Drosophila melanogaster: one gene and its partner. The protein of the gene in region 1 purifies or fractionates together with the protein of each later gene. This does not show direct contact. Each region holds a gene or a part of one and is shown on either strand. Other genes may lie near its edges.

Region 1 (4,463 bases):
ATCATCATGTACATGAGGCGTCCATTTCAGCAGCCGGATCAGCCGGCACAGCAGCCAGCTGCAGATGACATTGCTGCTGCGCCAGTTAACTTGGCGCCGGTTGGAGCGGAAGCAGCACCTGTAGCCGCAGTGGTCGAAGGTGTGGGCGTCACACCACCTGCCGCCGCAGTTTCATCTCACGATGCTGTGGCCGCGTCCTCCTCTACGGAAACCTCATCAACCACTGCCACGTCCCTTGTCGATGCAGCGTCACAAGGGGGAAGTGGCACGACATCTGCGGCGCCGGATGGCGCTAACACACTCGATCCCACTGGTTAGTCTTAGTAACTTGGTAAATCATCCCTCTAGGTTAATTAGTGTGCGTGTAAATATTTATCATCTAATTTCGCCCGATGTAATATTTTTTATTAATTCTAAAACCGACCTTTTTAGATATTTAAAAAATATCGTACTCAGAATGTAAATGTTGTACTGATAAACCAATGAATCGCTCGACATTTGATATATATTTTTGTTTATTTTAAAAAGGTTGGGTATTGATTTCAGTACGTCTCCCATTCTAGTTACTTTTAAGAGCCGTTGCGATGTTATTTTAAAGGCGATCTTCAAGGGGCAACTCAGATCGAAACTGAAAAATTTTACATTTCCATGGTTTATTTTAATGGGAGCTGACAATGTGAAGTTAAACTGCAAATTTTTAGTCTAAGCGTAGTAGTTAAGATTAGCCTTCTTCTTCGCCTGCACTTCCATGATGGCGTCCATGAAGTCTTCGTGCGTAACCGAATTGGCGGAGCGACGCAGTGCGATCATACCAGCTTCCACACAGACGGCTTTGCACTGGGCGCCGTTGAAGTCATCCGTGGATCGGGACAATTCCTCGAAATTCACATCATTGCTAACGTTCATTTTACGCGAGTGAATCTGCATAATACGGGCACGGGCTTCCTCGTTGGGATGTGGGAACTCGATCTTACGATCCAGACGACCAGAGCGCAGCAGAGCAGGATCCAGAATGTCTACGCGATTGGTGGCCGCAATCACCTTAATATCTGCAGTGGAACTGAAGCCATCGAGCTGATTAAGAAGCTCCAACATAGTTCGCTGGACCTCACGGTCACCGGCCTTCTCCGAATCGAAACGCTTGGTGCCAATGGCGTCCAACTCGTCAATGAAGATAATGGCAGGCGCCTTCTCCTTGGCCAAGGCGAAGGCATCGCGCACCAGCTTGGCACCATCACCGATGAACATTTGCACCAACTGGGGACCTGCCAGCTTGAGGAAGGTGGACTTTGTCTGAGCGGCGCAGGCACGGGCCAGCAATGTTTTGCCAGTTCCAGGGGGGCCGTACAAAAGGACACCTGTAAATGGCAAGGATTAATATGGTTGTGTGACATTTGTTCGAGTGAGATACCCACCTTTGGGTGGGTGAATGCCAAGGTTTTTGAACTTCTCCTTGTGCGTCATGGGCAGCACCACTGCCTCGATGAGCTCCTGTATCTGCTTGTCCAAACCTCCAATGTCGGAGTACTGCTCTGTAGGTCGCTCGTCCACTTCCATGGCTTTTACGCGGGCATCATACTCTGCCGGCAGGGTTTCCAGGATCAAATAGGAGTCTTTGTTGACTCCGACCAGATCACCTGGCTTCAGTTTCTCGGCATCAACCAGGCCGATGACGGGCAGGAAATACGCCTGTCGAGTGGATGTTTTGATGACGGCGCACTTGCCCTTTCGCTGGTTGTCCAGAACGGTGACGGAGCCGTCGTCCTCCTCCTCCTGTGGATCCACATCCAGCAGCTCTATTACATTGGACACCAGGTAGGGCAGTGTCTTGTTGACCTAATGGGGAAGTACTTAACAAATGAGGCTATTTGGCAGGGTGGCGTTTCATTGTCATCCCTACCTTGATCTTTTCGGTGTTGTCCTTGATCTTCTCATTTTGCGCCTGAATCTCGTGCGTTATGCGTATCACTTCGCTCTTCATGATCTTGATCTCGTTGTCCATCAGGCGAGTCCTGCTCACAATTTCATCGGTGGACATACGCATCACCTCCTCGCCCAGGGACTCCTCCCCGTCCTCCCAGATTGACTTATCCTCCAGAGTCTGAGCCATGTCTAATACGATTGTTGATTAGCCGTTGCTGAATGTAATTCTTTGTTAAAATGCTATTATTGCCGATCTTTTTGGGCAAACACTCTGTCGATGACTTGTAAATTTCTTGTTTTTCAGCGGCAAGTAAGCAACACTGAAAAAGTCAGTGTTGACAACAGAGCGCCATCGCCGGCGCTTATCGATAGTGACAGCGATAACACAGCGATAACAATACGGCAGGCTTTACACAGAACGCTCTATTCTGTAAAAGATTTGGCAATTTATATTTTAAAATTGCAAGTAGACTAGTTTGCAATGTCTGAAAATAATGGTAAGCGTAGCAAAACAAGCTGTAATGCTTGCTATAACTTAAAGTTGCCAAATATCGCGAATCTTGTGCCCTTGAAGAGTTCGCAACAAACTGACAAACGAGTCTTGTTTTTTCCCCCTTGTTTCCAGAAGCGTCAGTCGAAACTAACTGTTTCCGAGGTGGCTTCACCTTGAAGGCTTCTCGCCTGGGCGGTGCTGTCCTGCGCCCAGCAGTCTTGGCAAACAGCAGCGGCTCCAACAATAGTTCCACATCCCCAAGTGCAGGTGAAGACAGCGCCCTGCTGAATAATCCGTTTCTGCGCGAGTCCAAGGACGACGACGATGACGAGGAGGTGGTGGCCACCGGATCTGCGGCAGCCGAGTCCACTGGCGACAAGGAGGACGACGATGTCGACGAGCGGCCGGATCCGCTGACCAAGCTGCGTAGCAATGGCATTGAGCGCTCCAGCATGTTTGCAGCAGCCAAGAACAACATGCCAAATGTTCAGTCCAGCGGGTTCGTCTTCGGCCAGAATGTGCATGAACGTGTGGTGGCCCCCAATGCTGAACAGGTCACCGCTGAGCCGGATGCAGATACGGCAGCCAGCTCGGTATCAGCCCAGGAGGCTGCCTCCTCCTCCACCGCTGCTACGTCGTCCTCGGCGCCATTGCTCTTCTCAAGCGTCATTCAGAACGCTGCCCAGACCACAGAGACCAGCGAGGCCGCTGCCTCCTCATCCATTTGCAGCAGCAGCAGCAACAACAAGGAGTCCGCCGAGGCCAAGAGCCTGACGGATGTGGCCCGGGAGTATGAGGAGAGCCGCGCTCAGAAACGCAAATACGAGGAGGTCGAGACCTTCACCGGCGAGGAGGACGAGATCAACATTATCGACGTGAGCTGCAAGCTATTCGCCTTTCTTAACAGCAACTGGGAGGAGCGTGGTCGCGGCAGTCTGCGCTTAAACGACGCCAAGGACTTAAGGGGCGACTCGCGCGTGGTGTTCCGCACTTCTGGCAATCTGCGCCTGCTTCTCAACACCAAAGTCTGGGCCGCCATGGTGGCGGAGCGAGCCAGCCAAAAGTCCCTACGACTAACGGCCATCGACAACTCTGGCGTTGTCAAGATCTTCCTGGCCATGGGCCGACCGGCGGACATTGCCCAGCTACACAAGGCGCTCAGCGAACGGATTGCCAAGCGCAAGGTCTCACATCCCGAGGAGTGTTCCGTAGAGGAAGCGAAAAACGGCGTCGCCTCTGAGGCAGCGGCTAGCTTGCAACCGGAGTCGACGACTCACGACGACGAGGATGAGGATGCTGCTCCCGGACCGTCTGGTGCCATTTCAGCAGAGGCAGACAGCTACGGCCCGAGTCCCAAGAAGGTGATCGTCCAGCCCGATAGCAGCGCCGATGTCCCTGTGCCGCCCGTTGAGGAGGGCGACGAGGATGCTGAGGCCGAGGCCAAGGAGTCAACCGATCAGAATTAACCGCCGCTCGCTCTTGTTCTTTTTATACGATTCATACATGGAGAAATAAAACACTCACAACAAACACTAATTAATAAAGCGCGCCGTGAATTATTATAAATTAATTATAATAATTTATTAATAATTATTATTATTAAAAATAAAATAAATGAAGTGCTGATTTGTAAACCCGTGAGCAGCGTCGACAAAAGACATTTATCCATTACGCTTTGTGTTTATAATTTTTTGTTAAAAATGAAAACCGAAATTAAGATATCGATATCGATCGTACACGCTCTAATTAAAAGTTTTAATTTAATCACTATACAAACCCTATGTACTACTTTTCGCTTAGGAAATAATTTTTACAAGTTCAGCGCTTGCACTAGTCCTGGTCATAGCTCCACTGACTGGCATCTGGTGTGGATTCCAGCGGATCATCACTCAGTATTCAGTTATGTATTGGTAGAAAAAAATAGCGTTACGACGAAAAGTACAATCTAAGTGGAAGTAGCAGCAGGAGTGGATATCGAATATCAACCCATCCTATGCCCTCAGCATTGGCTTGGAGCGATTTGCCGATGTGGAGGACGCTGGCTGTA
Region 2 (7,240 bases), about 10 Mb from region 1:
CACTCACCAATCTGCATCTCATCATCGAGCACTTTGAATCGGCAGAGGTAGATCCATTATTTGCCCAAACTGTGTAGTAGCACCAACTAATGTATGACATTTCCAGATTGCCCTGCTGCTGCGCGAGTGCATCTGGAACTATCTTAAAGATCACGTGCCCTCGCCGGCGCTGTTTCACGTGGACAACAACGGGCTGCACTGGCGCAACACGAATACACAGCTGGCCAAGGTGCCGCCGCAATATGTGGACCCGTTGCGCCACCTAATGCAGCGTAAGCTGTCCACCCTGGGCCCCCACTACCATCAGATGTTCATCATGGGCGAGCTGATGGAGGGCGACTCAGAGCCAGATCCGACGGCCCGGCTGCAGATCGTTGAAATAGATTAAGCAAACGTAGTTAGCTAGCCTAATGTTGTAGTGTGAGCATGAGCGTGTGTGCATGGAATAATGGAGCGTCTGCGAGTGTTGAGTGTGGAATTTGGAATGTGCGAAATGTGCGAACTAAATGCAGTGTTTGTATTTTGATATTCAATGGGTTCTTTTATTTTCGTTTCATTGGTTTGTAAAAATTAAAATCTCAACCTAGGCCTTGCAAATACTGTCCAGCAGTTATTGTACCGACGGCGCCTGAAAATCGCATCATTCGTCGTGTGTAGTTTAGAATATAACGAAGCCAACAAACAATTTCACTTGAACATATTTCTTTATGTGTGCGACGCACCAATGGGCACCGTCTCCTCCGGCAATCCTCGGCTGCCTTCAGTACATCATAATATATTAACGACTAATTTACGCATTCATTTGTTTCATATAATACACAGTATTGTCACATGGATATATAGCTTTCGTGTCGCTCCCATAGCTCCCCAATTCCACAGCCAACTCCGCTGATGCGGGCTGTTGCTGCTGTTGATGCGACCGCTGCTGCTCCTGCTGCTCGGGCGGTACGAGGTTGCGCCTGAATTTCCTACATGATTCTATGGTTACAAATACTTGGCGAATGTAGGACAACAGAATAAAAACGGGAAAACAAAACCAAAAAGTTGCTCACAATTTGTTAACAAAGTTATTCCTTTCGATAAATCTTAGCATCTATGTTTAGTGGAGGCATCTAAGGCGCCTACGAAGTTCGGCAGTGGCTCAGCTTGCGCACGGAGATGCAGGACGTCAGCTTCTTGGCGCGCCTCTTCAGTGCCGATCCCTTCTTCTTGACGGGCGCCTCCTCTCTGCTACCGTTGCCCAGCGAATTGCTGGCGGCTGCGGCACTTGTGGAGGGCGGTTCGTAGGTGTGGCAGGCGGCTAGGGCTGCCGCCGACTGTTTGGCCCGAATTTCGGAGGCAGCAGCTGCCGCTTGGCGGGCGAGCTCCTCTGTAAAGGTAACCATGAAAGTAGTTCACTCGGCATTAGATTGATGTTGGTACGTACGATTTACGTCGTGTTCTGTAAAGTAGACATCCTCCTCCTGGGTGCCGTAGTGGTAAGCTTCCAAGTAAGGTATCACCGTGGAGTTGCGGTATTTGTCACCCTTCAGGGGGGGAATGGGTATCGGTGGGCCGGTCTTAACCGGTGCGGATCGGAACCAACTAAAAGCAGATTATAACAATCAGTTATCATGAAGTGCAATCAAGGAATATTCCTACTTACGTGTCGTGGCGTATTTCCTGCAGAGAGAGGCGTTTACTGGGATCAGCCTGAAGCATGCCGAGAATCAGGTTGGCAAAGTCCGCGTCCATTTCGTATAGCCACGCGGGCGCCTCCCACTGACCTCGCCCGATGTTCTCCAGCAGTCGGTAGATATTGTCGCCCTCGAAGGGATACTGTCCAGTGGCCAAATTGTAGCTGCAAATCCGTTAGATTAGTACAGTATATACATTTAATACATGATATTATACAAGGAAGGCTTACAGAGTCACTCCGCTGGACCAGATGTCCACCTTGAAGCCGGCGAACGTCTCGTGTCCGTTGGCAATCTCCGGTGGCTGGAAGGCCGGAGAACCTTGGCCCGTCGTGCATGTGTCGTCAGGTGCGAACAGATCCAGTTGCTCCGCCACACCGAAGTCGGATATCTTCAGCGTTTGATCCAGGGAGAGCAGCAGGTTGCCTGGCTTGATATCCTTGTGGATGACCCGGCAGCTGTGCAAGTACTCCAGGCCGTCGACTAGCTGTTTGAAGTAACCGTGCGCCTGAAACAGCGGCATCCGCTTGTCTGGCTGATAGTCAATCATCTCCTGCAGCCCGCCGACACAGTACTCCATGACCAAGTACATTTTCTGCTTCTCCTCGTTGTACAAAACATCGACCAGCTCCACGACATGTCGATGCTTCAGCTGCTTCAGCAAGGCGATCTCGCGCGTTACGTTCTGTTCGCCGTTGGGAATCCGGCGCAACTTCCGCTTAGTCAGGATCTTGACGGCCAGGCGGCACAGGTTCTCCGAGTTCATGGCCTCCTTCACCTTGCCGTACGATCCCTCGCCGAGAACATCGCCCATTATGTACTTGCCCACCATCTTAATGCTCTTCTTTTTCTGCTGATAGATGATGTCCTGGCTGTCGACGCGATTGAAGAACATATTACCCATGTCCAGCGTCACGCGATCGAGCGTCTCGATCTCGTCGTCGTCCAGCCACGTGACTTGCGGATGTGGCTGGTCATCGAGCAGCAGTTCATCCGGATTGTAGAAGCCAACGCCCGCGCCCGCATCATCCGCTTGGGCGGTGTCTTCTTTGAGCTCCACAAAAGCGTCGTCGTCCAGATCGGAGGCGACGTCATAGTGAAAGTTCTTATTGGCCAGCAGTACGGTCATCTCGTCCTCAACAGGATCCGGCTCCTCCTCCTCCACCTTGTGCTGGGCCCCTCCGCCCGTGGGATGATGTAGATGATGATGGTGTGCTGCCTTGACCTGTGCCTCCATGGTGGTCACAGTCATCTGGCCTGTTGCTCCTGCCCCTCCTGCTTCTGCTCCACCGGCTGCTTTACCTCCGACTGGCCGAGAGCTAGAACATTGCATAAACCTCCGCGGAGCCCCAATGATCACATATCGCAGGTGGCAGCCCCACTCCGGCGGATGGGAGTGGACGGTGTGGTCCCTGTGTTGCCTGTGGCTGCAAAACGTTTGGTTAGTTCATGGCTACACCTAATCCTCACCAGGCACACACGCGCTTTTATCGCTCACCTCTCGAAATACCTTTATTTTTGTAATCAATTCGCACACACTCGAATTGATTGCCGTGCGATTTTTCGAGGTCCCTCGTCGCCCGTCGTCTATTCTGCGATGTCCGCTGGAAAGGCGTTCCCCCCTTTCGTTTCACCGTCGTGCGATCTGTTTCTCATAGAAATTTGTGAATTCCTGTGTTTACTCTCGCCGTTCAATTTGTTCTTTTCCCCTTCCGAAAAATTGTTTAACAATTAGTTTTTGGCCAAAGTAAGTTCGCCGCAATACGGTCACACTGGTCGCGGGCAACCAGGGCTGCACGAGCACTGGTTGTTGTTGCTACTGTCGCTGCTGAAAAAAAAAAACATTAACGAAAAATAATAAATTTGTATTTTTCGGGACGAACGCTGGAATAACTCGAATCGAAGTGGAAGTCATGGCCGCTGGGACGACGACCAAGGAGCGCCTGGAGCGTCTGATTAACGCTAAAAAGCAGCTGGAGGCGCAGATCAACAGAAACGGACAGATCCTGGCCGCCGTAAGTAAATTCGCTTGCTCATCCGGGGATACCCTGCATCCGGGATAGGGTATGCACACTGTGGCAAGCTGTTGGTGACGCACCACCGTGGATATTCATGATCGCAGGTTCTTCAACTTGGACGGACCGCCAAGCCAAATGTTGATATATTCAATACCCTACTGTTGGTTAGGGTATGTCCACTTGGGCAAGCATTACAGCATTATCCTATGCTTTGGTGTAGGGTATATACACAATTGTATTTTGAGTACATTCTTTTGTTTATGCTGTATAGCATTGATAATGATATCTTCCTTCCAGAACGACAATGTGGGCATGAGTGGACCACTGGTGGACGCCGAGGGTTTTCCGCGCAACGACATCGACGTTTACCAGGTGCGCCTGGCGCGACAGACGATCATCTGCCTGCAGAACGACCACAAGGAGCTGATGAACCAGATCCAGACGCTGCTCAACCAATATCACAGCGAGATTGCCACCACAGATCCGGAGCTGGTGAACCGCGCCTCCGCTTTGGACCTGGACAGCGACCGTTCACCCGGTGGCGCTAATATCACGGATCTTGCTCCTGCACGCGCCATCGTGGTGGTCAATCTGGTCAGTCCCGATTCGCCCGCCGAAAGAGCTGTGAGTGAATGTAGTAAACAAGCGAAGATCACAGCATTGAGATGGGCCATCTTTACCATTTAAGGGTCTCTGTGCCGGCGATGCCATCCTCCGCTTTGGCTCCATCAATAGCGGCAACTTCAAGGGAGATCTCGCCCAGATTGGCGAGCTGGTGCGCAACATGCAGAGCCAGAATGTCCAGCTGAAAGTGAAGCGCGGCGAGCAGCAGTTGGACCTCATCCTGGTGCCGAAAACGTGGAGTGGACGCGGTCTCCTGGGCTGCAACATCGTCCTGCCGCCCGAGGCGATGGATCACTGATGTAGCTTTGTGTTTAAGCTTTTTTCGAGTTGCCTGTGCACTCCTGCCCTGCACTTTAGTTATCAGCCCATCTCTGCCAGGCCGACGAACATGGTTGCTCCAAATTGTGAAAATTGATTTTTGGACGCGATTTCAGGGCAATTTCAGCTGGAGTCATCTCGCTGACTGACAGCCGGGTCAGTGGGCCAAGGAGCAGCAGTGGAGTGACCCAAGGTGCACAGGTGACAGGCAAAAGGATGATATTGTGATTCGGTGGATTCTGTCGACATGACCGATTTTTTTTGCATTTAATTTTCATTCAATATGAAATGATGCGTAACAAAATGATGAGGCGGTTTTACTAACAAATAAGTTTTTATAGCGCTTTTACTGGTAAATAAAGAAGGATATATAATTAAAAATATAAAAAACAAATTTGGAAATTATTATCTAAAAGCATAAACGTTTTTGCAGAAGACTATGGTTTATTCTTCTTATGAACATTTCAATTTAACAGAGAAACAAATTCTAAAGAAATGTTCGATTTTAAAAGTTCTGTTTTTGAACATCCAGGTACTAGCCAAGTTTTCAACCAATGCTCAAGCGCTTAGTCAGGGCACAATGGCTTTAAAACTGTACTCCTTCTTAAGATAAAATTATTTATATATCTGACGTGAGCAATTTAATTGAAAGAGTGTATTGTTAATCAATTGGAATAATAGTTTTTATGAGATGGCAAAGTCATTTTATTTGTTTCGTTTTTTATATCAGGTTTTTTTTAAATTAAATGCAACAGTCTGCAGCCCAGACTCGAACCAAATTCCGTAACAGAATTCGCTTAACCGGTTAGGACACATGTTAGCTTAACAGTGAGAGAGATTTTCCGCGAAGAGAGCGAATTTGGCAGGACGAGCTTTCGCCCGAAAATCTATTTAAGCAACACGCAGCGTAAAAGTTTAAAACTTTTTTCACCCGCGCCGCAGCATCCGATTGCCACGATAAAAAAAAGGATAATTACAAATGCAGTGAAATTGTTGAAGCAAAGCGACTGGCGAATAACAATTCCAATTGCTTGCCAAAATATACAAAAATTATCCCCGCACCAGTTTGCTTGTTTTGTGCGCCGGAGCAAAGCTGCCGCAGCCGTCGAATCCGAATCGAGAGCATTACGGATGCGATTTCGAATCCGAATCCGAGTGGCGACAGGACGAAAGTGCGGCCCAATCGCCGTCAAATTACGCTAGTGAAAAAATCGTGGGGCGCCGCTGAATTTCTGTGCAATTAACGTGAGCGATTGAAAGGATCTGCCTGCTGCCAACAACGCGACCGATGAAAATTGCGAGCCGTTCGCGTTCGTCCTGTGCGGCGGAAAGGATGTGTATGTGTGCGGGCTTTATATAATGAAACACTTCCAATGCGTGGACCCAGCCAGCTCTCGTCCTTCTTTTCATCTTTTTTTTCGCGAACTGGAGTGGCAGGATAGTGTCACTGTCATTGCCAGTGCATGGGAATTGTGAGGGAATCTGCTTGGTGGTTGGGGCTACGAAAGCTGCGCGAAATAGCACAACAAACAGGCAGCAGCGGGGAAACTAACAAAAAAGTTAACTAAGGGCGGGCATCCTTTTCCTGTGTGTGTGTGTGTGTGTGGTGTGTGTGTCTGTGCGTCGCTGTGGGGCAAAGGAAAACCAACCCCCACAATCCGCACCGAAGGACCAAACATTTCGGCTGCTACTCTCGATGAATTAAAAAAAGCCTGTGTCTGCGCTGCGCTTGTGTGCGTGCGTACACTTCAACGCGCTTCGAGCCCCACACACACACACACACACACACACAAACACAGGGACACATTCACACACACACACACTTGAATAATTCAGAGACACTGCAATGCTGCCTCATTGTTCATCAATAAATTGGCGTTAGATGGCCACACACACTTACACTCGAAGAGAACTTCAAGGAGGAGCTTTCATTTTCAGTTTTCGGCGTCTCATTATCCCGCGTGCTAACTGAATTATTCAACAATTACAGCTGAGATTTCGCAGCCTCACACGTTGCCAAAAAGTGCCAGTTGTGCCAGTGTGTCCACAAGTCCTTACGCTCATTGGGCGAAGGACACATGCAAATGAAAAATTCATTTGCATGTTTGTGTGGTGGGCCAGTGTGTGTGTGTGTGTGCGTATGTGTGTGTGTTAGCTGAGATGAAAAGTACACACAGCGCCGGTCATCATGGTGGCACAACAATGAAGTTCAAGTTGATCCTTTACGCGTCGAAAAGGATCAGAAGTCCTTCGGCAGTTAAATGTACACATTGAAGAGCCATTTGTGGAGTTTCAATGCTGCAGAACATCATATCCTTGAAATATGTGCCTTAAAGTATGCTATTTTCCACAGAAAACATTTAGTTTCGAAGTTTCTTTGAAAAGGTGCTTAAAAGTATGCTATGACATATGAGAAAGCAAGAAAAAGATATTAATACCACATCTTTTTGTGGGAGTTTCATTGAAAATCCTTAGATATAACATTATTGATCCCTCATATTGCAAAATCACTACCTTTTATAGACAACACTGGGATGATAGGCGAAGCTCCATAGGAGCAACCCAGTGTAGTGGTAGCGTGGTATTGATGATGACAGATTAGTT

The links.
Region 2: the proteins of Rpt5 (region 1) and CG9588 purify together in Drosophila melanogaster (affinity purification with western blotting; 2 studies listed by BioGRID, with this or other methods). This does not show direct contact.

The regions. Positions count from the first base shown.
Region 1 is NT_033777.3:23,750,661-23,755,123, reverse strand, and holds Rpt5 (regulatory particle triple-A ATPase 5), read right to left. Parts: upstream 2,249-4,463; 5' UTR 2,111-2,248; coding exon 1,901-2,110; intron 1,837-1,900; coding exon 1,416-1,836; intron 1,359-1,415; coding exon 703-1,358; 3' UTR 501-702; downstream 1-500. Other genes in the region: Hrd3 (HMG-coA reductase degradation 3), read left to right, coding at 1-318; RanBP3 (Ran binding protein 3), read left to right, coding at 2,405-2,420, 2,549-3,882.
Region 2 is NT_033777.3:13,672,879-13,680,118, reverse strand, and holds CG9588 (uncharacterized protein), read left to right. Parts: upstream 1-3,437; 5' UTR 3,438-3,589; coding exon 3,590-3,691; intron 3,692-3,991; coding exon 3,992-4,318; intron 4,319-4,382; coding exon 4,383-4,616; 3' UTR 4,617-5,027; downstream 5,028-7,240. Other genes in the region: omd (oocyte maintenance defects), read left to right, coding at 1-47, 107-388; Lkb1 kinase, read right to left, coding at 1,122-1,369, 1,427-1,584, 1,646-1,840, 1,907-3,009. UniProt on the Drosophila melanogaster protein: Acts as a chaperone during the assembly of the 26S proteasome, specifically of the base subcomplex of the PA700/19S regulatory complex (RC).